Alligator mississippiensis: one gene and its partner. The protein of the gene in region 1 interacts with the protein of each later gene in a biochemical or structural test. Links are inferred from orthologs where the notes say so. Each region holds a gene or a part of one and is shown in the gene's direction. Other genes may lie near its edges.

Region 1 (6,925 bases):
CATCTCTCTCCTGGGGAGAGCTGTGGCAGGGAGCAGGGTCCAGCATTTTGGGCATGGATATTTTGGGCAGGACTCCTGGGTTCCAGTTCCAGCCCCAGCCTTGCCTTCCCCCCACCCCCCCAGCCACTTAGCACTTAACTTATAGCTGCTTACCCCTATCCATGCCTCAGTTTCCCTTCGCTGCAGGATAGGGATGGCATTTGCAGCACACATGGCACAATGCTCCTTACCAGTGCAAAGGGCACTGAGGTTGGGGCTGTCTGCTGAGGGTGCTGTTACTGAGCGCATCTGTGTTCACAGCGATCTCAATTAATTAACAAGGGGTCTGAGTTTCAATGGCAAGGAATCCTCCAAGGATGAGGGAGTAAAAAACCCTGAACAGGAATGGCTGGAGTACAAGGAGGAAGCTGGGGGGTGGGGGCCAGTGGAGGGGCTGGGGGGGAGGATGGGGGTTGAGTAGGGTAGCGGGCCGAGTTCCAGGCAGAGGGAACTCCAGTGAGATCCAGCCCCTGCCTCCTCCTGGGCCCCTCTGCCTGGTTAAAAGGTTCCAGAAGCCTTTTCTTTGCAGGACAAGATAAATCTGTCACTCTCTGGGCTGGGGGAGGGGAAGGGCTGGTGGTGCATGCTGGGTGGGTGAGTGCTGTTGGAGATGCAGGCCAGGGTGGGGGTTGGGGACTCCCCTGCAGGAGCATGGGGCTGGGACAGGCTGGGCTGTGCCATGGTTAGGCCGTGGCTTGCAGTGCTGCGGGGATCGGGCAGGGGTCAGTGCGAGGAGGGCAAGGGAAGGGGACAGAGAGTGCATTGCCCCATCCAAGGCTCCTGTCCTAGCTCTGTCCCAGGGCAACTCTAAGCGGGATGGGTCATGGAGGGGCAGGGCTGGAATAAGCTGGGCAAGGTGCTGGGCAGAGACTCGGACAGAGTACAGGCTTCCTGAAGGCCAGGCCCTCCCAGGCTCAGCTCCATTACAAGGGCAGGGTGTGGAGTTGCTGGACCCCACAGGCACTTTGTTCTGGGCAGAACAGACACTCCCCAGTGCACGGTTCCAGGGTCTTTGAATGCTCGGGGCTTGGGCTCTCTGTTCTAGGATGCAGGGGCAGGCCCCTCCAGCCAGATGCAGTGGTGTCAGCAGGACCAGGTGAGCCACACTGGGTACCCAGAAGGATCCAGCCCTGCTTTGTGCCTCAGTTTCCACTCTCACCCTTTGTCTGTTTAGACTTCTAGCTATTTGGGCCCAGGGCTGTCTCACTCCGTGTCAGAGCAGTATACAGTGTGATGGAGGTCCTGACTTGAGCTGAGGCTTAGTCTGGGCAGTGCCTAGCGCCACCGGGACCATAATCTCAGTAGGTGCCTGCTGGTGCAAGGAGAAGGAAGAAGCTTGGTCTCTGTGGAAGCTTCTAGGTATTACCATAACCTAGACTGTAGCAGAGCCTGCTTCCTTGCAGCTGCTAGCTCCATTGTCTGCCCTGGCTGTCTTGTGGGCAGGGCTGGTAGCAATGCAAGGAATTAAGGGTGCCCCGCACCCGTTTGTCAGCCCCTGTGCATGCGACTGTCCTTCCACCATCATTGAGCACTTGGCTTTGCAGCCGCTGTCCTGTCCTTCCAGCACAGGTTCCTTGCATGCAGTACCATGGATTGCCCATGAGCCTTGGGGTCTCTCTTTGGCCAGTAAAATGCAGCCACCTCTGGTGTGGAATGAGGCTATGCAGTGATATCTTGGGACAGAGTGTGAGGAGCCCAGAAGGCCGCAAAACTGGCTGGGGGAGTCTCAGTGGAGGGAAGGGAGTTGCCAGGGTGGAGATCTGAACTGGGGCCAGGCTCCATCTCCTGTGGAAATGGGCAGGGGCAGAGTGCACTGACCTAGGGAGTCGCTAGGGTAATCTCACCTGTCTGGCGATGACAGTGCCCACAGTGTGTGCCACCTGGACAGTGGGCTCAGCTGTCACCTCCAGCATTTAGCTAAGTGGTCCACTGTGGGCACCAGACCTCAGCCCACAGGGCCCAGCACATTCAGACCCAGGCAGGGGGCTTTCCTCTTCCTTGTCACCCGCTGTCTCCCAGAGAGTGGGTGGTGGGTAGCAGTGGGTGAGGCACCTGGCTTCACACCCCCAGTCCTTCACACCCTGCCAGACCAGGACATTGCTGGAAATGCCCTCCCTCCCCCTGTCCTGCATGTATCAGCCGGGACCTAGGGGCTCCTGGTAGAGACACCAGCCCATCAATCAGGGGCTGAGGCCTCTGCACCGCCCCCTTCTCCATCTTCAGTTGAGTTTCCGGTCCCTTACCGGCAATTAATAGACAAGAACAACAGTGCGCCTTGCGCCCAGACAAGTGAGAACGCAGCTGTCCTAGTGCCATGGGGGCTAGCCTGGGGCGGGTGGGAAGCAGGTACAGGGTGGGGGTGGTAGGGTGCCACGCAAGGCACCAGTATCTCCTAGCTACTGGAGGAAGGAGGCTACCCTCTCCTGCCTCTTGGTGCCTTAACCCTGCGCCCAGCTTCTCAGAGGGGGAGAGGTAGCCAGCACTGAAACACAGAGATTTGTTTTTTTTTCTTTACTTCTTCCCCTTTCGCAGTCAAGCAGAGTTAACCCCTTACAAAGCACCATCTGCCTGATTCACAGTCTCGTTTGGCTTGGGGCCTGCCGTGGGCAGACACTGGATCCTGCCCCAAGCTCCACATGGCAAATGTGGGGGTGTGGGACCAGTCTGTACCGCGCGTCTCAGTTGGCTCCGTGCCCGCCATGGGTACTAGCCAGGATGACTGGGAACTCCCAGTGACTTCCAGAGGGCAACCAGGCCTCAATGTCTCAGATGCATTGCTCTGGTTTGAGCTCAGCCTGTCGGCTGGGGGCCGGGCTTTGAGTATCTCTGCTGCAGAGGGGCCTCTACGGTGGGACATTTCCTCCTCCAGCTGGTACTGGGCTTGGATTCTGTGTCTGCAGCCTGAAGTTGGCTGGTACCAGGAGCAGGGCACCAGAACCCACCTCCTGCGTGGGAGCAGAGCATAACCCAGCGAAGAGCAGATAAGGGGCAGGGAGCGCATGTGCGTGCAAGGCCAGGGGAGAGGATTTCCTTTGATAAGGAGAGCCATGTCACAGAGGGCACAGGCACAGGCAGATGCCCCCAGGCCTCCAGCGTGCAGGGGAGTGGGCCCCGTGGGGCTGGGCGTGGAGCACCGGCGCCGTGGCCTGACCTGGGAGCCAAGGCTGCGTCTGGCAGAGCGCTGGAAGGAGCACGGGATGGGATGGGACTTCCTGGGTCACGGAGTCCAGAGCGCTGCTAACACGGGCGCCACGTCACAGGGTCCCCGCAGGGCCGGGAAGGAGGCTGTTACCCAAGATGCCCCGATGGGGACTGGCTGACTCCTGGGCACCGGGGCTAGGAAAGCAGGGCCCAGCTGCTCCCACACCAGGGTCTTGTCTCCTGCGCCCGGTGGCTGAGGGGCCCGGTGGCTGAGGGGCCCGATGCCGTTTAGGGGCATCCTCCCTGCAGCCTCCTGGGGCCCTTTGACAGGTAGGGAAACTGAGGCAGGGTGCGAGGTGACTTCAGGTGTAGGGGCCCAGCTGGGGTGTGAACCCAAGCGTCCACACTCCCAGCCCGAGCCACCAGACGTCCCTCCCTCCCTCCCCAACTCCCCCCTCACCGCCCCCACTCAAAAAAAAAAAAAAAAAAAAAATGAGCTGCCGCTTTAAGAAGCCCCTCCCCTCCCCTCCCCTCGGGAGGTCTAGACACTTCAAAGGGTTAGTCGGCAGCGACCGGGCCCGCCCCCCGCTCTCCATTGGTTGGCTGCGGGCAGGGGGCGTGTCCCCGCGCGGCCCGTTCCCCCCCGCCCAGTGTAAAGTTTCAGCCGAAGCACATGACGGGCAATGGCTGCTGTCGCCCCGCGCTGAGCGCGCGCCCCGCCAGCGCCGCGTCCCATTGCCCCGCGCCGTTGCCGCCGCCGCCGCCGCCGGAGCGAGGCCCGGGGCTGGGCTGGGCACGATGCGGCCGCGGGTTGCACGCCACGCGGGTGCCTGAGTCGCGCAGGGCCGGGGAGGCGCCCGCTCCTTTCTCTGCAAGGTAACTCCCGGCTCCGCCCGCCTTCTTCGCAAACTTTCCCCTGGGTGCGCTGGGGGGGGGGCGCTTCCTGCGGGGTGAGGCTGGGGAGAGGGAGTCTCTCTCCTTTCCCCCCCAGACTCCACATCCTAGCGCACATTGCAGACCCCCCCACTTGCACCCTGCCAGTTTGTTTGGATTTGCTGCAAATGCAGCCCAGGTTCCTCTCCCCAAGTGACAGGGCCCGCTGCTCCGGTCACTCAGGCGTTGTGACCATAGATGGGGGGGCTGGGGGGCAGGCGGGGGGAGGCACGCTGCTATTGTGCTGCTTGGGGGAGGGGGGAGTGAGCATGGCTGGGGTGGTTTTCCGCGGGGGAGCATGCGTGGCTTGATCCCCTTGTCCTGCGCCCCCCTCCCCCAAGCCCCAAGTGTTCGCACCCAACTGTTGCAGCAGGTTGTGGCTACGCATTCCCAGCTGTCACCCCCTCCCCATGCTCCCCTTCCTGGCTGCATCCTGGCGGGGTGGGGGGTGCTGGTGTGGTTAATAGCCTCCAGGGGCTTCTCAGTGGTAGTGTTTGGTTCACCCCCACCCCACCCCGCCCTTCATCCACTGCCTCCTCTGGTCTCCCCTCCTCTGGCTCCTCTGGAATTTGGGGTGAGGGTAAGTATAAGTAGCCCTTTTTCCGGGAAATCCCAGGCTTTCCATCAAGCCCTTAATTTCCATGCAAACACCTTGCAATGCATTGGAGTGCCTTGGTTGAGTGCTTCTCCAGCTGGCTCTCCTTTCCCAGCTAAGCACTTTTTGCAGAGAACTTTTTTGCTCCTTTATTCCCCCCCCCTCCCCCCTTTAAGGCCCCGTCCAGCCGTGAGCCATTGCTGCGCCTCAGCACGCTTCCCCTTTTGCTGGTGTTACGTGAGGTTAAGCGGTGGGGAGCTCCTGCTGCTCTGCCTTGGCCAGAGCGACGGCTGTGGGTGTGGCGATACGGGGCCTCTGTGCTTTTGAAGGTTTCGAAGTGCCGCTTTTGTTGGTGTGTCACTTTCCCCGGCTTGGCATGATCTTTAAATGGCCTGACACTGCTTTCCAGAGGTGCCTGCGCAATGACTCGGGGAACCCTGTCACCCTCTGTGGTTGTGCTGGTTGGGGAGGTGTGGACAGATAGGCAGGGTGCAGGGCAAGGAGGGTTTGCCTCTTTAGGATGAAGTTTTGGAGAAGGAAGAGCTGTTGGCCTGATAAGCAGAGGAAACCCCATAACAGCACTTCTGAAATGAATCCAGCAGGGTTCACACGGCCGTGAGCAGGGGAGCAGTTCTATGTGGTTACAGTTAATCGGATCTGTCTGAGGCTGGGCCTGTGCAGCAGCTGACAGTGTTGGGGATCTGAAGCAGGAGCCATGGGGATTTTCTGCTGGACCCGTGGCTGGAGGCACCGGGGTCCTCTTGCTGGCAGCATTACTGTTTGGCTGGGTTCTGATCTTGTCCTGCATTGGGGTTGACAAGTGCTGTGCAGGCCAGGCAGCTGAACGGTCCCTGTCCCAAAGAGCAGTCACATGGTGCGGAGTAGACTTTGGGCTGGTCTGGGGAGAGCTGCCTTCCCTGCTGCATGCCCCCTGGGTGCCAGGCACGAGAGCATGGGTCTGTGCTCTGTTTATCTGCAGAGTTATTTAAGGGGTTGGATTGGGCTGCATCCCAGGAGAAGGGTTGTGGGGAATCGGGTCTGTGTCGCTTCCTGGCACAGCTCAGTGCTAACCTGCCGCTGGAGGAGGTAATTCTCCCAGGAGGAAGTAATCTTTCTCTGCAGCTGACAATCCACTGGCGCAGCTACAAACAGTGCAGGGGAAAGAGGAAAGGGGGGGGGTGTCCTTCTGCCCCACCCCCTCCACTTGCTGCCTCCCCCAAGCTCCCACGTGGGGTTGATCCTTCCCTTAGTGCAGGATGACACTTGTGTGACTGCAGCCCTTGTGTACAGGGAGCCTGGCCAGGTGCTCCAGCCTGCATTTGAGAGTTGGAGGGGCCTTGGATGTGATCTGGGCCCTGGGCTCTGCCCCTGCTGCTTGCCAGCTAAAGTGAGTAGGTTGATTGCCAGAGGGAGCCTTGCTGAGACCAGGGAGCTGACTTGAGCAGTGCCCAGCGATTCTGCCTGGGTCCTCAGGTCTCGCAACAGCTTCTCCTCCCCTCAGTTTCTGACCTGCTAAGCAGAGCCTGGTAACTGTGCCACAGGTCAGGGCTGAAGAAAATGAGTTCAGGGCTAGAGCAACTGCTGCAGGGAAGGCACACTCCCTGCAGAAAGCTGTGGCTGAGGTCCTTGTCTTGCCTGAAACAGGTGGGCATGGGGGGCATTCGGCCTCCTGGGTCATGGAACTGGGTTGCCCTGAGCAGGCCTCCCCGACAGCATAATTCATTGTTCTTTTAGCACCAGGACTGTTTCCGGCAGCTCGATGCTGGCACTAGCAATGCCCCTGAGGTCCTGATGGGGAAATTGGAGCACAGAGAGAGCAGGGCATTTTGGAAGGCTACACTGCGTTGGCTTGGTGCTCTGTTGCTCAGTTGACAGCTCATGCAGCACAGTGGGCTACTTATAGGGGGTAATCCTACAGCCCAGATCTTGATGTTGATGGCAGGTACCAGGGGACAGGTGCCTGTGGGCTGTGCAGGGCTGCAGGGGGTGTAGATTGGAGGAGTGACATACAATCAGCACAGCTGGCTGTTTCTGCCAAGCTGCTCAGCAGTGGAAGAGTTAATGTGATTGTTGGCATTGGAATTATCATTAAGTTTCCAAGTGGGCTCCCCCACTCTGTCCAGGGATGCTGGGAAGCTAGGCTCTCTGCAGACTCAGGCAGGTATCTCCGCCTCAGGGCTATATCTCAGGGTGCACCTTGCAGCAGCTGGAGCTGGG
Region 2 (8,006 bases), about 55 Mb from region 1:
GTTTTCAGAATGGGAGGGGGAGAAAGGAAGCAGAGAGAGTTCGGTTTGGGGTTTTTTCAGTCCCCACTGGAGGATGGGGCAGGTGTATTGGAGCCCCCCTGAGGTGACAGGGGCTCCAATTCACCCACTCCACTTTCCAGCGCTAGCTGGGGAACCCCTGGAATGAGCTCTCTCTGCTCCCTTTCCCCCCCTCCCATTCTGAAACAGGAATAGGCTGGGAGAGAGGAGGGGCCATTGCTAGAGGAAACCAGCTGCAGTCTTCCAGCCAGCAGCCAGAGTCTCTTCCCCCCTGGAACCAACAGTGAACTTCTGTTTGGTCCCAGGAATCATTATAACTCAGAGCACATCCTACAAAATGTTACAGCAGGGAACTGCACTTCTGCCTGCAACCTGTGGCTGCATCTACACAAGACACTGATTGTACAGTTGTAATTGCAGTCATTTAAAACTTGCATACACAAGTACTAAATGACAGTGCAGTAACTGGAGTTACTGCACAGTAGCATTGCCAAACGGGTTTTAGGTAATGCTGATTGTGCAGGAGCTCATTAGTACTGCGTAGTAGTGTCATGTCATGCCATGCTTTGTGCCATGCGATGCTACTGTGCAGTAGTAATGAACTACTGAGCAGTCAGTGTCTTGTGTAGATGTGACCTGTGTGTAGCAGGAGGAAAAGTGAATGGCAGGTCTGACTGATCCAGGCACTCAAGTAAACGCATTACGATTCCTGAGGTGAGAAAGCACTAAGCATGACATTGCATTAATATTTGGTGGTCTAGATTCTATTTACATTTTGTCATTCATGCCATTAGACTTAGTGTTGGTAGTGTTGAGGCGATGTTGTTGCTGTGATGTCCAGGAAATATGTGAGGCGCAAAAATTCTTGTGCATAATACCTTTTATTGGACCAACTCATGGTTGGAATAGACATAGGGAAGCTTTCCGATACCACAGCACAGTAAAAACCTGATAAAGGAGGAACAACGGTTTTCAGAAGGGTAGTTATCATTTAAGAAGTACAGAAGTTAGTGAGCATCAGGTACATTATAATGGGCCATTAAACCATTGTCTATGATAGGTCCCTGATACTTAGTTTCCAAAAGCTAATTAATTTCTGTTCCCAAGCCCATCTTGTAAGAGTGTTGGGTAGTTTTCCTTGGACTCTTTTGAACACTCTTGTTTCTCCTTTATCAGGTTTTTACTGCTTCTCTCCTGCTTGTTGGCAACCTGATTTCTCTTATATCTTGTTGTTGTTTACATACGGAGTTTTACACAAGCTCTGTTACATCAGCTACTTAACTCTGCTGTGTCTGCTTCTATCCCAGGGGCCTGAGGAAGGGTACTCTGATACCCAAAAGCTTGCCTATGTCTATTCCACCACACAGTTGGTGCAATAAAAAATATCACCCACAAAAATTCTTGCCTCTCGCATTAGACTTTGTGGCCTGGGATTGTTCTGTCCTAAGTGCAGGACTTTGCACTTGTCCTTGTTGAACCTCACAAGATTTCTTTTGGCTCAAGCCTCCAGTGTGTCTCTCTGAATCCTAGCCCTACTCCCCAGCAGATCTACTGCTCCTCCCAGCTTGGTGTCATCCGCAAACTTGCTGAGGTGCAATCCATCCCATCTTCCAGACAGTTAATGAAGATAATGAGTAAAACCAGCCCCAGGACCAATCCCTAGGGCAATCCACTTGATAATGGCTGCCAACTAGACGTTGAGCCATTGATCACTACCTATTGAGCCTGGTGATCCAGCCAGCTTTCTCTCCACCTTGCAGGCCATTCATCCACCCATACTTCCTCAGCTTGCATGCAAGAATGCTGTGGGAGATGGTATCAAAAGCCTTGTTAAAGTCAAAGTATATCACGTTGACTGCTTTCCCTGCAACCACAAAGCCAGTCATCTCATCAAAGAAGGCAATGAGGTTGGTCAGGCATGACTTGCCCTTGGTTAATCCATACTGACTGTTCCTGATTACTTTTTTCTTCTTCAAGTGCTTAGAAATGGATTCCTTGAGGACCTACTCCATGATTTTTCTGGGGACTGAGGTGAGGCAGTCTGGTCTGTAGTTCCCTGGATCCTCCTTCTTCCCCTTCTTAAAGATGGGCACTAGATTTGCCCTTTTCCAATAGACCAGGGCCTCCCCTGATCACAGTGAGTTTTCAAAGATAAAGGCCCTGTGGCTCTGCAATCACATCAGCCAAAAACCCTCAGCATCCTCACGCTGAGATCCAGCCTGCAGACCATATCCAGCTCATAGAGGTGCATCATTTGGAACCCAGTTTTGCCCCAGTCTTGGAGTGACTCACAAGCAGTGTGCAGGGTACACTGGATGGCCCTGGATGATACCCATAGAGTGGCCACCAAGGGCAGCACAACCCCAGAGCAGCCTTGTATAGCTCTGGAGCCATGTTACACATGATAATGGCTCCAGAATGGTGCAGCACAGCCCATGAGTGACTGGTGCCTTCTGAGTCTGGGGGGGCACCCGCAGAAGCCATTGATGGCAGTGGCCCTGTCGGGGAGCACCAGCTCTACGAATAGCATCAGTGTTGGCTGTCAGGGGGGGCACCGGCCCCACTGGGGGTGGGCATGGGCACCCCTGTGCACCCCCTACCAGTCACCTATGGCACAGCCCCACAGAGGTTGGAACAAGATCAGAATGTGGGGCTGGTCTGTGGGTCTGATCCAGTCTGCAGACTAGTCCCACCAAACTCATCTGGTCTGTGGGGCCGGGTAAGTTTGATGCTCCTGTAACAAGGGAATCTCAGCTTGCCCAAAAGGGAGTAAAAAGAAAATCCTTACAAGTCCAGCAGCCACCTCTGACATGGGTGACCTCTGCCACTGCTATCTGAAGAGGATTGGGACTGCAGCATGGAGATAGTAATATGGAGAACCCTTGTCATGGTTTTCTTAGGATCCCAGATTGCCTTCTTTTGGTCCTGCTACTTCTTACAAATAAGGAAGCAACCGTTTGAAGAAATTATGAAGCAAAAGAACAGAAGAGCCATGAAGATATCTACTGACAGAAAAATCAGCTTTGGAACTTTTCCCCTTCCCACCTCCCCTTTTTTGGGGAAGGGTAGCTTATAAATCTAATTAAACCAAATAAATCAGTCAATCAGTCAATAAATAAATGAAGTTCAGTAACAGAAGAGTAACATTTTCTTACTCAGTATCCCAACTCATAAAAGTGCAATTGTGCTGCATATTTAGTGGACACAACAATTGATCTGACCTGTTTCCTATGGTTGCTGCCCCAGTCTGCAACCTGAACGTTGGTTATTTCTCTTAATGCACCAATTGCTTGTGAAACACTTTGGTAAGATAGTGGGGTTTTTTAGTTTATTGTCCTATGGAATAATATTCTTGTTTCATATATTGGTACTTGCTTTATGTAAAGATGTTTTTATTAATTTCTGTGAAGGTTTTGTTTTCATAATGTTGGTATTTGAGGAAGCAGGATGAATATCCCCTTTGTAGGCCAAGTAAGATATATACACATTTGAGGAAGTCACAGTAGTCTTGGTATGTTCTACCTCTTCTGCACTAGGTCCATGTGAAAATAAATTGCAAACATTTTTTTAAGAGACTACACAGCATGAATTGGTTGCTTCTCTCTCTCATTGTTGCAATTCCTCCTTAACGGGTTTTTCTCCTCACTGGATTCCAGTTCTATGCTCAGCGGGTAGTTATTTTGTAAGGGCTATTCCCAGTGCCTCCTTAAAGCTTTTTCTTCCTGTCCTGGATAGTCTGAGTATAATCCCACCCTTCCTATAAAGGGAAGCTAACAGGGGATGGGGGTGGGGAGGAGAGGGTGAGCCTGGCTAGCCATATGCATATTAATAACTGAAGCTAAAGGCTCCACCCTTCTGTTGTTGCCTCTGGGCAAAGCTGGGAGGAGGTGGCAGGACTGGAGAAAAGAAGGCAGATGGGCTGGGTAACATTGTTCTCATTAATATTAATCAGGAGAGATGAGGAGGAGGAGGAGGAAGAGAAGGGGAGGAGGAGAGTGCTGGTCCTTGTGTTGTTAAAGCCAGACAGGGAATCAGATCTGACCTCCTAAATTGTATTAAAAAAATACAAATTTGCCTTTGTATTGTGTGACACTATTAGTATCAGTTATAGATTATGCTCCAGTAGTATCAATCCTGGACCTGAGGAATCCAAACCAAGGAGAGGCCTGTGTAAGCCACTGTTGTGAAGACACTACTAGTCCTGTGTCGTTTACAGCTTCTGCACTGGGGCTAGCCATGTGTCTGGGCTGACAGGGGTACTGGGGGTTCCAGGTTGACCTCGGGTATGTGTTGAGGGCAGCTCGAGAAGGACACGAAAAGCGGGTAGCAGGGTGTCAGAGCCTCGCTTACAAGATAGGATGTGTGTGTGTGTGTGTGTATGTATGTGTGTGTACATGTGTGTATATATGTGTATTTATGTATGCACATATGTGTGTGTGTTTATATGTCTATATATGCCTGCGGAGTTGATGGGCAAGCAACTTCATGGAGTTGTGATCAGTCTGGCACACACTGATCCCGCCGCCCCCTCCTAGCTCCTGAGCTGGGGGTATCACACGCCAGCTGAGAGAAGCGGCGCGCAAGAAGGAGCCGCGGGACCGTGTTGCCTTAGGCCAAAAGGGGCGTGGCTACTGAGCGAAGGGGGCGTGGCCACGCCGGAATGGCGAGCGAGCGAGCGGCGGGGCGGAGCAGCGAGGGCGGGGCTGACTCCGGCAGAGGGGGGCTGGGCCGGGGAGAGGCGAGCCGGCGGGGCCGAGACCCTGGCGTGGGGGGCGGGGCGGCAGAGGGGGCGGGGCGCGGCGGCGGGTTGGCTGAAGCGGGCGGAGGGGGCGGGGCGCGGCGGCGGGTTGGCTGAAGCGGGCGGAGGGGCGGGGCGCGGGCGGCCGTTGGCCATGTTGAGCGGGTGCAGCCGCCTCCCGGGCTAGGACAACAAACCCTGCGGTGGCGGCGGCGCGCGGCGGGGGCGGGGCAGCGGCGGCTCGTGCGACGCGGCGGCTGGTGCCGGACAATGGAGGCAGCAGCGGTGGCGGCGGCGGCGGGGGGCCCGAGCTGGGCGGCGGCGGCGGCGGGGGGGGAGCGGGCGGCGCTGAGCGGGGAGAACGAGGCCGAGAGCCGGCAGGGCCCGGCGGAGCGCAGCGGCGAGGCGGCGCCGCTCAACCTGTTGGACACTTGCGGCGTGTGCGGGCAGCCCATCCAGAGCCGGCGGCCCAAGCTGCTGCCTTGCCTGCACTCGCTCTGCCTGCGCTGCTTGCCGCTGCCCGAGCGCTACCTCATGCTGCCGCCCCCCGCGCCCGCCGCCCCCCGCGACCCGCCGCCCGCCGCCTCGCCACTGCACTGCACGACCGGTAAGTGCCGCTCGCGCGTCGCCGTCGGGGCCGCGCCACGTGCTGTCGCGACAGGCGTGGAGGGCACCGGGACACCCTCCCCCCAGGGGCGTCTCGTGGTTGCAGGCGGGCAGCCTCCCCCTTCCCCTCCCCCCACAGGGGCGGCCGGCCTCTGAGCCTCCCGCCCCTCCCCCTGCTGCCCCGAGGTTCTCCTGCCTCTGCCGGCAGCCTGTGGGTCTTAACAGGGCAAGCTTGTTTTAACCCTACGCTTCAAAGGCACAGCTCCTGCTCTGCTTCCACCAGGTTTGTCCTTACCCTGGATGCAGGTGTGTGACAAAGCAGGCAGTGGGCTGAGGGATGCAATGCACATACAACACTTGATCTGAGCCTTCAAGAGGCCGAGACGCATATATATGTTCGGAGAGTTGTCGTCCTCCCAACCCCCCTTTTGGTTCAGGGTGTGAAGATGGCCCAGGGTGGTTGCAGCAGGAGCTCCTGGTAAGGAGCAGGGCGTGGTGTTACAGGGCTGGGCAGATCATGCCCTCCCCAATAGGGGCGTGGGTGAAACATGCAGCGGACTTCGTGCTGACCTGTAGTTGCAGGGCAGAAAGCAAAGGTAAGCTGTGAGAGTTGAATCAAACTGTGCTGTAATGGCTCTTTTATTGCCCCTCCGGGTTTTGTGTTTTGTTTCTTTTTTTATTTGTCAAACTTCACAGATTGGTTTCACTTTTTGGCATAGATGAGGAAGGAAAGGGCTTCTGCGAGGGAGGAAAAAAAGATGGAGGGCAGCACGAGGCACCTGTTAGTTGGTGGGGGGGAGCAAGTGGCTTAGAAGTTCCAAGTTCAGTGATGTTTCTGTGTTGGGCAGTCTGCAAGGGCACCAGCCTTCAGGCAACCCCTGCCTGCTTCACCTGCCCAGCCTGCCTGGGCTTGCTTGCACAGTATGGGACTCTGTGGTAGTACCCAGACAGGGGGTGACCAGGCATATGTCCGTGTGTCTGTGTCGGGGAAGATAAAGGGTGGAGGGCCTCCGTGTCATTCCAAAGAGTTGGTTGCTTTGAGACTTCCCATAGTCTCCCCTCACACTAGGATTAAAAGGACTTTCCTTAGAAAGCTGCAAGTACCTTGCATTGCCAGCAGTTGCATAGAGCTGTGTGTGCAGGGGGAACCTGGAAAGCAGGGCTGGGTACATGAGTGCAGGCAGAGGCGGTGGAACAGTTAACAGTTGATGGGCTAATTCACTTCTCATTGAGTGTGGAATTGGTAGCCATTCTGTTCTGTTAAATACCCATTGGGCAATAGAGGTCTTTCCCCACCACCTCCCCCCAGCAATTAACAGGTGTTTTACTGTTACAGCCCAACCACCCCTTGCTTGCCACAAACCATAAAGCCCTCTACTTTCTCCCTCCAGAACCTGGCTACCCCTCCACCCCGCACCATCCCAGATAAGGCAGAGATCCCTGCCCAGGGTCCGTAGCATGGAACTGAAACTGATACAGAGGCTTTTTGCTTCCCTGCCCTGTGAACTGTTGTTTCTGTAGGCAGTAGAGTCATAGTTGCATCCCAGAGGAGCCCTAGTATGGTTTGTGGGGTGTGAGGAGTGGTGCAGTTTGGGATGTCCAGAGGACTGACCAGACACTAGGCACAGAATGCTCTATGTCCACACATAACACTAAACTGGTTCAAGGAGAATCAGATTAGTACATAATTTTCCCAGTGTGCTTTTGAAATGTTCCAGGAAATTTTAACTGGTCTAATGTGGCATGCATGTCTAGACTCTTGCGTTTTACAGGGTAATTAGAGTGTTCTCAGTTTTACATCTGTCCATACTTGTAGTGTCCACATGCTATCAGTCTGGTTAAATTTAGATGAGGCATTTAGCTAAACCTTTTTGATTTTGAATTAAATAAAGAACCTCTTGAAGTCGTCCTTAAGCAAATGTGCTTTTCATCATGGAGATCTAGTTTGTGTTTGACATAGCTGTAATACATTTCTAGGCAATAGGCATGTTGTAGTAGAACTTTAGTACTGTCAGTAGTGTATTGGATGATAAAAATTACTTGAACCAATTTTCCCTTAATCTCTTTCTTAGTAGATGTAAATGCCTGTTTATTCTATTCTGTAATACAAAAGTTCATTCTGAAAAAAAACCAGAAACGTGGTGATGGAAATGAATGAAATAGATATCTTTAATAGGTAGGTGTGATGGAACTGGAGCTACTCTCTAGCAGTTTATGAATGCTGTATATTGACCTGGATATTGGGATGAAGGGACCTGGAGAGAGGGACATGAAAGGCAATATCAGAACTGCTGAACTTGAAGAATTTGCTGTCATCTTAACCTGTAAAATGCATTTTGTCTAGGGAAAAGTTCATAACCTAGGAACACCAAAACATTATAGTAATTTAAAAAGGAACACAGCTTGCAGAAGAACTTTGTCCAACCCACAGCATGTCCCTCAGTCCCACCTGGCCCATGTGCTGTCTGGCCTGTGGCATGTCCCGCTGGTCCCAGGTATGCAGTGGGACTGGGGTAGCTCTGCGGCTGGACTCCACTTCTAGGCAGCCCAAGGGGCAGTGGCTCCTTCCGACTGCTGCCACCTTTGGCCCCAGCCCCATGGAGACTGGCAAGAACCTGCACACACAGCCCCAGCCTTGGCCCGC

Evidence for each region.
Region 2: the proteins of RARA (region 1) and TRIM24 form a complex in vitro, tested with the Homo sapiens proteins (3 studies listed by BioGRID). The link is inferred for Alligator mississippiensis from reciprocal best matches to the Homo sapiens genes RARA and TRIM24.

Annotation. Positions count from the first base shown.
Region 1 is NC_081827.1:164,453,481-164,460,405, reverse strand, and holds the start of RARA (retinoic acid receptor alpha), read left to right. Parts: upstream 1-3,867; 5' UTR 3,868-4,056; intron 4,057-6,925. UniProt on the Homo sapiens protein: Receptor for retinoic acid. Retinoic acid receptors bind as heterodimers to their target response elements in response to their ligands, all-trans or 9-cis retinoic acid, and regulate gene expression in various biological processes.
Region 2 is NC_081827.1:109,071,934-109,079,939, reverse strand, and holds the start of TRIM24 (transcription intermediary factor 1-alpha), read left to right. Parts: upstream 1-4,919; 5' UTR 4,920-5,026; coding exon 5,027-5,363; intron 5,364-8,006. UniProt on the Homo sapiens protein: Transcriptional coactivator that interacts with numerous nuclear receptors and coactivators and modulates the transcription of target genes.